Oryctolagus cuniculus: one gene and its partners. The protein of the gene in region 3 binds, or shares a complex with, the protein of the main gene of each other region. Links are inferred from orthologs where the notes say so. Each region holds a gene or a part of one and is shown on either strand. Other genes may lie near its edges.

Region 1 (3,746 bases), on a different chromosome or scaffold from region 3:
GTTAGCGCAATGCCCGGCAGTTATAACAGACCCAGCATGGAGCAAGAGCTCAGGGGACGTTTATGCAATGAATGAATGAATGCACACAGGAACTAGGATCCCCGCGCTCCAGCATGTCTGTATTGAACGCACAGGGCCTGGCGTACAGTACGAGCCTGGCTGCACTGCACGCTGGTGGCAAGGGTTCGAATCCCAAGACCTCGGGCAAGTGACTTGAGCTCCCTGTGCTTTGACTTCCCCCTCGGCAAAAGGCGTAGAGGCTTCGATGGACACTCCGAAGCACTTGGACCCTCTGCCCGGCCCACGGGAGCCCTCGTCACACCGGCTGGCCTGGGCGGTCGGCAGCACCGGCGAGGGCCGCGGGGCTGCAGCTACACCAGGTCCGCTCGGGGCCGGCGATCGCGCCCCCAACGCGCCAGGATCCGCGCCCCGCGAGAGCGCGCGGCCGCCCACGGCAGCCTCGGGTCGGCTGCCCGCCGCCCGCCACGGGAGCCGGCCGCCTGCACTTCTTTCTTTCCTTCTCCGGCTCCCTCCCTCTTCCCGGCCGGAGAACGCGGCTGCTCTCGGCTCAGCAGCGCCTCCCGCGAGCCGCCGCCGCCGCCGCCGCCGCCGCCGCTCCGGGCCCCTCCCCCGCCCGCCCCCCGCCCCCCCGCGCGGCCGGCGCCCGTCACGTGACGCAGCGGCAGCCAATGGCGAGCCGAGCCGCGGTCGGCGGCCGCCATTGCTGTCAGAGCGAGCGAGCCCGGGGAGGGAGGAGAAGCGAGGCTGACTGGGGAGGAGGGGGGGGTGGGGGAGGAAGAGGAAGGAGGGGACGTCGCTCGGCTGCCGGGGTCGCCCGCTGGCTTCGTCCGCACCCCCCCCTTCGCGAGTTCGCGCTCCGCGGCGGCGGCGGCTCCGAGGCGGCGGCGGCGGCGGCTCCGGGGCTCGCCTCCCCTCACGCGCCGGCGGGGCCCGAGGGGGAGTCGGTGGCTGGAGATAAACAAGGCGGCGGCAGCGGCGGCGGCTGAGGATCAGGGAAGGCGGAGGCGGCGGCCGGCCCGTAGCGCCGGCCCGGGAGGCAGCGGCGGCCCTGAGAGGCGGGGAGGGCGCCGGGCCGCGCGGACAGCGCCCCCCGCCGCCGCCGCAGCCGCCGCCGCCGCCGCCGCCCGAGCAGGAAGGAGCCGCGCGGCCGCCGCGGACCCCCCCGCCGGCCCGGGCCCGCCGCCCCCGGCGCGGCGTCGCCGCGGCGCCTCCCGCCCGCCCGCCGGCCCTCCCGCCCTCCTCCTCCTCCTCCTCCTCCTCCTCCTCCGGCGGCGGCGGCGGCCCGGCCGCTCCGCGCTCCCCGGCGAGGCGCCGCCGCCCGGCCCGGCCTCGCCTCGGACGCCTCGCTCCGACATGCCCCGCTCTGGCGGCCGGGCTCGCGGAGGATCATGACTGCGGCAGCGAACTGGGTGGCGAACGGGGCGAGCCTGGAGGATTGTCACTCCAACCTCTTCTCGCTGGTGAGTAGCCGGGCCGTGGGGAGGGGGCAGGCCGGGGGGGGGGGGTCTCCGACCTCCGCCGCCGACCAACTTTCTCCTCCCGCCGCCGGGACTTCGCCCCTCCCTCGCCTCTCCCCGCCGTTCGCCTCTAGCTGATTCTCCCCCTTTTGGATCGTCGCTCCCTCGCCTTGGATCCCATCCAGTGTTTATTTGGCTCTTTAAAAATCATTTGTGAGCGCAGCGCTCGGCGTGGAATTTGCATGTGGAAGTCTCCAAGCTGCGGATTCTGGGTCGCACTTCGAACGCCCACCCTCTGTTGCAATCACACCCCCCTTCCCCTCCCCTCTTCCCCGTTTTTTTTTTTTTTTTTTTTTTTTCCCCCTCTCCCTCTCCTCTCCCTTCCTTCCTAAACGTGGAAGGCTTTGCCTGGTGCTCCCCGCGCCTGCCATCAGCAGCAGCCTTTGCCCCTCTTGTCGGATCGGCCGCCCGCCTGCCTTTTGAATTTTTTTTTTTTTTTTAAATTCCATAATGACAGCCGCAATTTCGCCCGAAAGCAGTTGATTGAATGCGATTGTGTGGCTAAAGGACCGTCGCCCCCGGAGCTCCGGCGCTCGTAAACACGGACCTGCCGGCCGCCTCCCGGGGCTCCCCGCGCCGGAGCCCCGAGAGCCAGGCCCCCGAGCCGACGGAGGGCGGAGAGAGCGTCTCCTCCCTCTCCCCCTGTGTCTTCTAAAAACTGTTTTCTCTCTGCTGACAACAAATCCACACACACACACACACACAAAAGCAACAAGCTGGGCGGTGTGATAACATCGCTTTTATCTGCCTTCGCCTCTCGCGCTCTCGCTCTCTGATAATTGACAACTTTTCCTCTGGATTTGCATCGCCTGCCTTAATCTTGAAGCAGTTAGGGTGTCAATTGTTCTCGCGGAAGCCCGGCACCCGACGACGGCGTCTGGATCCATCGAAATTAAAAATGTATAGGGCTCCGGCAACTCTTTCCTGGCGGTGGCAGTGACATTTGGTGGTAAATGCCATCTTTGCTTTTTATTGGGTCGTATTACCTAGCTCCGAAAACATTCACGTTGTTCAACCTGGTGTTTAGACTAATAATTGCAATGCGTGGTCTTTAAATGTGTGCTTTGTGCATGAGTTACTGTATGTATAGCTATGTGCCCGGGAGACTACGAATTTGTTTAAATATTGAGCAAAGATTTGTAAACAGATGTAAGGCAATTATGTTTCAAGCGTAGAATATAATTGGAAAATTGGCAGAACGGTTTATTTAATTTAACCTTAAAAAAAAAAAACTTATTTTAAGTTGTGTACCCTGTTTTTTTGAGGGGGGGCCTCTGGACTCTTGGAGAGCATGCATTTTGGAAATTATTTTCTGTAACCCCTGCTGTAGATAGAAGCATTATTTCCTCTTAATCCTTGTTTATGCTGGGTAAATAATTTAGTGTTCAAATTGTAATTAGTTACATTTAATTATGGGTGGCATAGATGCTTTTTTCCCTTTGAGAATAGTGGGGAAATAGAAAATCTTGCCAACTTTTCAAGTGGAAGTATTATTTTATTAAATACATTACAGTATTTATACAGATAAAAACATCACATGTGATTTTCTGTCTACAAACATGGAATGACATAGTGTTGTTTCCACTGTGGTGTGGGATCACCTTAAGTTTTTTCTATCATCAAACATTTTTATCCAGATATTTAATCTTAACATTGAATTGCAAGCTGTGAATCTTCTCTCAGCACTGTGAGAATTTTCCCTTGATCTTTTTGTGTGTGGGAATAAAACTCACTTTGCCTCTTTTCCTCTTCTGTCTTCCTCTCAATCTATCATTTGGTATGAGGTTGAGGGACTTTCATAGATTAGCAAATGTATTGATTAAGGGGCATTTAAAATGGTTTTTGTTTGGCGGCTGGTGACCACATTGACACTTTTACAGGTAATTAAAACAACCAAGTAGACGGATATTAGTGAGGAGAGAGTGCCCACATTACCATGTATCATGCTGACTGGTAATGGCTTGTGTGTATGTGGCTAATTTCTACATGCACTGGATTTTGTAGACAGATGAAAGTGTATGATTTGTACAGTCTCTAAGGTGTATCATTTCTTTCACTTTCTAATAGAGCGTAAGTAAGAATGATAATGTTACAGAGATAAGATGCTTGAGATTCTTGTGGAGAAACTGAGTGTTTTAGGAGGGGATTCTGTACTTCTACTGACTCAAGTTTTGTGTTTTGGGTTTTCTTCCTTAAACTTCTTTACCC
Region 2 (3,746 bases), on a different chromosome or scaffold from region 3:
CACACACACACACACACAAATTTACAAGTAACTGTTGTGACTCTTAACAATGTTAAATGATTTCATTTCTTACATGCAAGGATTTTCAAAGTGGTCCCAAATTGGTTTTGTACCTCAGCCCAACACTCCTCTCACAGCAATGTATTTTTTAAAAAGTCAAAAGAGAAACGGTTGTTGAGTTGTTCAAGAGCCATTTCCATCTTGCTCACTGACCAAGGTATGAGGGAGGAGGTGTGGAACAAATTTAATTTAATTAAGGGAAACCAGAATGTCCTTTGGGGGTCTCTGGTCCCAAGGTCTACACCAAGCATATTCCAGTTGGTAAAAAAAAAAAAAAAAAAAAAAAAACCTTAAATTTGAGACTTGTTAATTAGTTCTTGTCTGCTAGAAGTGTTAATTGGAAACAGCCTCTGTCTGAATGCAAAGAATGCATATTTCACACAGGGAAATTGGCCTGTAACCATTTTACAGTGAGTTGGTGAGACCTTAATGCAGCAAATCCCTATGCTAGTAAACAGGAAATGAGGGAGAAATCAAAAGCACATCACCCAGGAAAAGGCCCATCTCTACAGATGGTAATCTTGAGCATGCATCAGAATTGGAGGAAGGCTTAACACCAAGCTTGCCACGCCCTGTGCACCAGCAAGTTTCTGGTTCAGAAGGTCCAGGGTGGAGCCAGAGGAGCTTGATTTCTAACAAATCCCCAAGTGATGCTAATGCTGCTGGTCCAAAAGGACAATGGAGAACCACTGGCTTCTGTCAGAGAGTAGCAGGCAAAGATCCTGATATGAGGCCAATGGGCGGGAGGGGGAAGGAGGGAGGAGAAAAGAAAGTACAGAAATAAAATCTCAGTACCCAAGACAGTTTATTTCTTGTTCACATTAAGTTAGCTGTAGAAGGAAGAATGGAGTTAAAAGAGGACCTAATCTTCACATTCTAGAACCAAATTACTATAAACTGTTGTCACCAGGCTTGCATGGGTGTGGGCACACACCTAGCCGACTGGGGAACAGAATGGAAGATCGTGCAAGAAATCTTAGGGCACAGACTCCATTTCCCAGAACTTAGTCACATGGCCTCACACAGATATAGGGCAGTAGGGAAATGTGGTCACTGGCTGAACAGTGATATCTCAGCAAGAAGAAGCGCGAATCACTGGTGGACATCGAGCAGTTGCTCCCACCAAACCCTTCTCCCACTGCAGTCTACCAGCCTTGATCATGTCTGAGCTTAGCTTTAAAAATGTGTAATTTCAAAGAATTACAAATATTTTTAAAAATCTGTAATTTCAATCCTCTTAATTACTAAAATCTGTAATCTAAAATTTCTAACTAAGCTGACCAAAGACTTTCTACCCAAGTGACTGAGAAAAACCAATTTATGGGACCTACCAAGGTTCAAGATAAGGAAAAAGAGTCTACTGAGGTAGTAGAGTTACAAGAATCACAAGGAAAAATAAAGTTTTTGTTTCATAACAAATGGGTCTCTTTTAAAATGCTATACTACCTTATGCAGATTAGGTAAATTTTTAAATATTACATAATTTCACATTTTAGAGTATCTATCCCTCATTCTTAAAGCAAATGACAAATTTACTTTTTAAGGATGAAAGTTTGCTATTACCAAGGACACTGTCAAACTTTTACTCCAACTCCAAAAAAAAGAATGCCCCACACATCTGCAGCAAACATTTTCTTTTTCAGGTCACTATTCTTAATTTACGGGTCCCTGTTTGCCTACACTTGTTATATACTGAAATTGCTGCCTATGGCATTACGTAAGTGAAAAAGCTGGAGAGTCAAGAAAAAGGCCATTTAAACTTTTAGTTATTCATTTTAAGACTGCCCAAAAGAAAATAAACCAGTAATATTATACTATTTACCAAAAGGGAAAAAAGAAAACTAACATGAGTCACGGTCTTTCATTCATTTCATCAATTAGGACACACAAGGCAGCATCTTTTTCTATAATCTGGTCCCTTCGATGACCTGAATTTTCTCTTTGCTGCTCACTCTGTCCAGTACAATTGTTGCTATCATCAGCATCCATTGGTTCAGTTTTTACTTTTATTCCTGCTTCTGAGTGGGGTAAATCATCAGGCAAAGAGGCCAAGCAATTCTGAATCATCTCAATCACTCGCTCCAGATGCTTCTGAAACCTCTCGGCTGTTTCAAGCCTCTGTCGTTTCTGGACTTCCATCATAACTCTCAAGGTCTCTCTTGCTTGGTGGGGTCTGTATTCATTTATGAGATGATGCACATGGACAAAAAGCAGCTTAAGATCTTCCAGCTTCTCTTCTCGTTTTATACTCCCAGGGCTCCTTATCAAGATATCTAAAAGGTCCAAGAAATTAATAAGGATAGACATATTGAGTTTCCTCAGTTCTTTCTTGTGATCAAATTGCATAGGATGAAGCCTTTCGATGCCCTGACTTTCCAAAGGGCGGATAATAAGATCATCACATTGGAACTGGTTGCCAAACATCATATAACTGTCTTTGATTGGAGGGGGTGGCTTGGGAGCTAGACCTTCCTGAATATTTTCATCAGTGTATTCCTTGATGTACTGCATAGGAGGTGGAGGAAGTGCACTCACTTGCTGTGGCTCACCCATTGTGGAAGATCAAGCACCTACAAAAACAAACCAAAGATTCACAGAAGAACTACAAAACAAACCTGTCACATTTAGTGTTTACAGACAGAGCACTCCCCTTTTCTTCCGGTAGTTTCAAAGCTAACACTTACAACTCAGAATGGATGCCACCCTTTTCTAATTAAGCACTATATTCTCAACAACCCACATTATTTTTCCTTCCCTGTTAATACTTCTCTCCCAATATCTTGGAGTACCTTTTCATTTATAAAGAAAAGTCTTCTGGATTCTACACCACTTACCTTTTATGTCCCATTTCTCCACATCTCTTTATAGCAAAACTACACATGCTGTCGCCCAAACACATATCACAATCACTTTTTTTTTTAGAAGGTAGATGATTTTAAGATTTACTTTATTGATTTGAAAGGCAGAGTTACAGAGAGAGAAGGAGAAACAGAGATATCTTCCATCTGCCTTTTCATTCCCCAAATAGCTGCTAAGGACTGGGGCTGGGCCGGGGCCATGTAGAATCCAGGAACTTCATCCGGATCTCCTTTGTGAGTGATATGGGTCCAGGCACTTGGGCCATCTTCCACTGCCTTCTCAGGCATATGAGAGGAAGCCAGATAAAATTGGAACAACCAGGACTTAAACCAGTGCCCATATGGGATACTGGTGTTGCAGGGAGCCATTTAACCTGCTGCGCCACAATGCCAGCCCCTACAATCACTTTTACTATTACGAAGTGATTTCCCAAAGTAAATACTTATAACTCAAACATTTTGACAAAATTAACATTACTAAAATCTAGATACCCAGTATCATCCAAGGCTCCTAGATGAAATGATTATCCAAGTCTGTATCTTTTTTCTACATTTTATGCTACAATTTACTAACCTTTCTGTATCTACTATAGAAACTTGAAACCCAAATTCAAACCCACAGCTTCTATGGCCACAATCACTTCTACTTACTCCTTTTTAAACATAGGTATTATCATCCAATCTGAAGATTCTCAAGTGCTCTTTTAAACCGATCTGAACAGTTTTAAGACACACCCCTCCGACGTCAGGAGGCGGCAAGTACCCGTGTGCCTCTGCGGATGCGCACCCCTCGACTTCAGCTGGCATCTTTCCAGGGTCAACTCCCTA
Region 3 (3,646 bases):
GTTTATTTGCTTATTTTCATTAAGTTGAAATGCAAAGTGACAGAGAAGGAAGCGGGGTGGGGATGGGAAGAGATATCTTCCATCTATTGGTTCACTCCCAGAATACCCCCCAATAGCCAGGGCTGGGCCAGGTTGAAGCCAGGAACCCGGGACCACATCCAGGTCTCCCACTTGAGAGGCAGGGACCCAGGCATTTGATCCATCTTCTGCTGCCTCCCAGGATGCATTAATAGGCAGCTGCATTGGACTTGGAGTAGCAAGGACATGAGTCCAATATGGGATGTGGGTGTCACAAGCGGTGGCTTCACTCGCTGCACCACAGCACCTGCCCCTGTGAGATACTCTTATCCCCCATCTAAAGCTGAGGGAAACTGAGGCTCATACTGGTTAAGTGACTGGACGAGGCTTGAGTCCAGATCCTGTGCGTTCTCCAACATGGTCTCCTGCCTTCGATTCCCCTGTAAACTTTTCTAGACGCTGGCGAGCAGCTCCATAGGGCTCAAGCAGCTTTGCTTCTGTTCTGTGCCCTCAGGATCCAGGGCTGTCAGAATCCATGGACATTGACCCTAGCTCCAGTGTGCTCTTTGAGGACATGGAGAAGCCTGACTTCCCAGTAAGTTCCATCCTGAGCTCAGAGGGATGCAGCTCCTTAGATCTTCCCACCGACTCCTGAACATTCCCTTATGCCGCCACATCTCCCTTTCTGCTAAACGTTCTGCCTCTCACCTTTCTCTTAGTTGTTTTCTCCTACTATGCCCTGTGAGGGCAAGGGCAGCCCCTCCCCTGAGAAACCAGATGTTGAGAAGGAGGTGAAGCCCCCACCCAAAGAGAAGATCGAGGGCACCCTGGGGGTTCTTTATGACCAGCCTCGGCACGTGCAGTACGCCACGCACTTTCCCATCCCCCAGGTACCGTTTCCTAACACCTCATGGCGCTCTGTCAGTGAGCACACATGTCTGTCCCTCCCAGGCCTTCGCTGAGGGTTGGAGCTGTCGCTGAGGGCTTGGGGGGCGGGGGAGGGGGGCCCGGGCATGGGGCCGCCGAGGAGTGTGGCGCATGCTTTTTAAAGAGGCGGCGGGCAGGAGACCAGTGCTGGAGTCTGACGGTGCCGCCGGGATGCAGGAGGAGTCGTGCAGCCATGAGTGCAACCAGCGCTTGGTCGTACTGTTTGGGGTGGGAAAGCAGCGAGACGATGCCCGCCACGCCATCAAGAAGATCACCAAGGATATCCTGAAGGTTCTGAACCGCAAGGGGACTGCAGAAACTGGTGGGTGAGAGGCTCCTTGAACAGATCTGCCCCCCTCCCCAGCCACCACCAGCCGCAGAGTGCCCTAGGCAGTGTTCCCTCCCCCAGCGTAGGGAACGCCCCAGTCACATCCCGATGTCCTGTCTCTTGGAGTCTCCTCAGAGCTCTAGTCCTTTTGAAACTTCCCCCTCATTCCCCCCCTCTGCAGACCAGCTTGCTCCTATTGTGCCTCTGAATCCTGGAGACCTGACATTCTTAGGTACCTCACAGTAAGCCCCATACTGCCCTCCTTCCCTCCCCCTTCCCTCCCTCAACCTAGCTCCTCCCTGTACGTACTCCTCTAAGGGCCGCATAGTCTGTGGTCCTCAAACCTTGGCTTCACTCTCCCCCTCCCTCCCTTCCCTCCCTTCTCCCCTCTTCCTTCCCTCCCCGCCTCCCTTTCCCTTCTCCCTCCTCCCTCCCTCCCTCCCCCCACCCCCCCATAGCCTCCCCCCCCATCAGCTAGTTCTCTGCTGTGTCCTAACTGGCGCCTTTCAACTGTCCCCTCAGGTGGGGAGGATGGGCAGAAGCGGCGGCGCAACCGGCCTGAAGCCTTCCCCACTGCTGAAGATATCTTTGCTAAGTTCCAGCATCTTTCACATTATGACCAACACCAGGTCACGGCTCAGGTGTGGGCCTCAGCCCAGCCCCTTCCCGCATTCTGGCCTCCTGTCCAGTTTTCCTGTCACCTTTATCTTTTGTTTCCCCCTTAGGCAGGCCAAGCCTGCTGGTTTCATGCCCTTCCGCCATCATCCGTTCCTGCTTCCCTGGTTCTTCTCCCCTGCCTCCACTCCCAGCTCACTCCCACTGCCCTTATCAGGTCTCCCGGAATGTTCTGGAGCAGATCACGAGCTTTGCCCTTGGCATGTCATACCACTTGCCTCTGGTGCAGCATGTGCAGTTCATCTTCGACCTCATGGAATATTCACTGAGCATCAGTGGCCTCATCGACTTTGCCATTCAGGTGGGGAAGTTGGGTGGAGGAAGGAGTTCGTGCTGTGTTAGGGCTGTGAGGTCAAGGGTAGAGGCTCCAGCCAGTTTGCCAGGCCATTCGGAGGGGCAGGGAGACTAGCACGGGGTGGGGCGGGGTGGGAGGGGGAAGTAGGGGTGATGGGGGTGGAGACTGGAACATGAGCTGAGACTGCAGGAATAGAGACTTAAGTGCTCCCCGGGGAGGCCCAAGAGACAGATTAGAGCATTGGGCACAGACCGTCCTTCCACCGTGGTGTTCATAGAACTGTATCCTAGAGACTGGTTAGAGGCGTCGTTAGTAGAATAAAGGACAGTGGCATATGGTAACAGGGCCCAGGGGCTCGGGCCGGGCCTTGCCAGTTTCCTCCCTGGCAGGAGGGGTTGTGTGGAACACGAGGAGGGCCCTCGTCTCATCTCTCACCCCATTCACTCTGCTAGCTGCTGAATGAACTGAGTGTAGTTGAGGCCGAGTTGCTTCTCAAATCCTCGGATCTGGTGGGCAGCTACACGACCAGCCTATGCCTGTGCATCGTGGCCGTCCTGCGGCACTATCACGCCTGCCTCATCCTCAACCAGGACCAGATGGCACAGGTCTTCGAGGGGTAAGCAGGCCTTCAAGAGAACTGCAAGGTGCCAGGCGCTCCGGTGCAGGCCTGTGTGTATGGCCAGGGAAGAACACATGGGCTGCCACCATTGGGAAGTGCGTGCCATTCAAGTGGAGACCGAATAGTGTTTCCCAAGAGACTTGAGTCTGTTTCAAGGGATCTTTGCGCGCAGGGCCCCTGCATGCCCTCTGCTGAGCCTCCCCTCCCCTTGCCTTTTCTCGGCAGGCTGTGTGGTGTGGTGAAGCATGGGATGAACCGGTCAGATGGCTCCTCTGCAGAACGCTGTATCCTCGCTTATCTCTATGATCTGTACACCTCCTGTAGCCATTTAAAGAGCAAATTTGGGGAGCTCTTCAGGTAAGAGAGGTGGGAGGTAGAGCGTAGGGAGGGACAGCAGGTCCCATCTCCTTCCTGTGAGCACCCAGCTCGGAGCAGAGCGCAGCCCAGGCCCTGGCGGTCGGGCCAGGGTCATTTGTGGACTGTGGTCTCTGCATGGTACTGCACTGCTGAGGCCTTCTTCCTCACCGACCTTGCCTGCAGCCCATGGCTGTGGGGCACATGCTCTTCCTCCCCGCCTGCAAGACGAAGCCCCCGTTCCTAGTCTCAAATACGCTTCCTTTCCTGCCTAGTCTGCTTTGTCCCGTCAGTCACCCTTTTCCTGGTCCCCAGGTCCCCATTCCCTCACTTTTCTCCTTTCTTTTCTCTGCTCCCCCTTTTCCTCACCACCCCTCCACCTCCCCAGACCTCCTTCAACACCGCTCTGCTCTCCTCCCACCCTCTGCAG

What was found.
Region 1: MED12 (region 3) and MED13L share a complex: the UniProt entries of both Homo sapiens proteins name them as parts of the mediator complex. The link is inferred for Oryctolagus cuniculus from reciprocal best matches to the Homo sapiens genes MED12 and MED13L.
Region 2: MED12 (region 3) and MED7 share a complex: the UniProt entries of both Homo sapiens proteins name them as parts of the mediator complex. The link is inferred for Oryctolagus cuniculus from reciprocal best matches to the Homo sapiens genes MED12 and MED7.

Annotation. Positions count from the first base shown.
Region 1 is NC_091452.1:12,780,346-12,784,091, reverse strand, and holds the start of MED13L (mediator of RNA polymerase II transcription subunit 13-like), read left to right. Parts: upstream 1-1,348; 5' UTR 1,349-1,409; coding exon 1,410-1,481; intron 1,482-3,746. UniProt on the Homo sapiens protein: Component of the Mediator complex, a coactivator involved in the regulated transcription of nearly all RNA polymerase II-dependent genes.
Region 2 is NC_091437.1:44,110,717-44,114,462, forward strand, and holds the start of MED7 (mediator of RNA polymerase II transcription subunit 7), read right to left. Parts: upstream 2,614-3,746; coding exon 1,912-2,613; 3' UTR 1,907-1,911; intron 1-1,906. UniProt on the Homo sapiens protein: Component of the Mediator complex, a coactivator involved in the regulated transcription of nearly all RNA polymerase II-dependent genes.
Region 3 is NC_091453.1:50,931,415-50,935,060, forward strand, and holds part of MED12 (mediator of RNA polymerase II transcription subunit 12), read left to right. Parts: intron 1-532; coding exon 533-613; intron 614-737; coding exon 738-908; intron 909-1,122; coding exon 1,123-1,267; intron 1,268-1,454; coding exon 1,455-1,505; intron 1,506-1,795; coding exon 1,796-1,914; intron 1,915-2,105; coding exon 2,106-2,249; intron 2,250-2,695; coding exon 2,696-2,859; intron 2,860-3,087; coding exon 3,088-3,219; intron 3,220-3,646. UniProt on the Homo sapiens protein: Component of the Mediator complex, a coactivator involved in the regulated transcription of nearly all RNA polymerase II-dependent genes.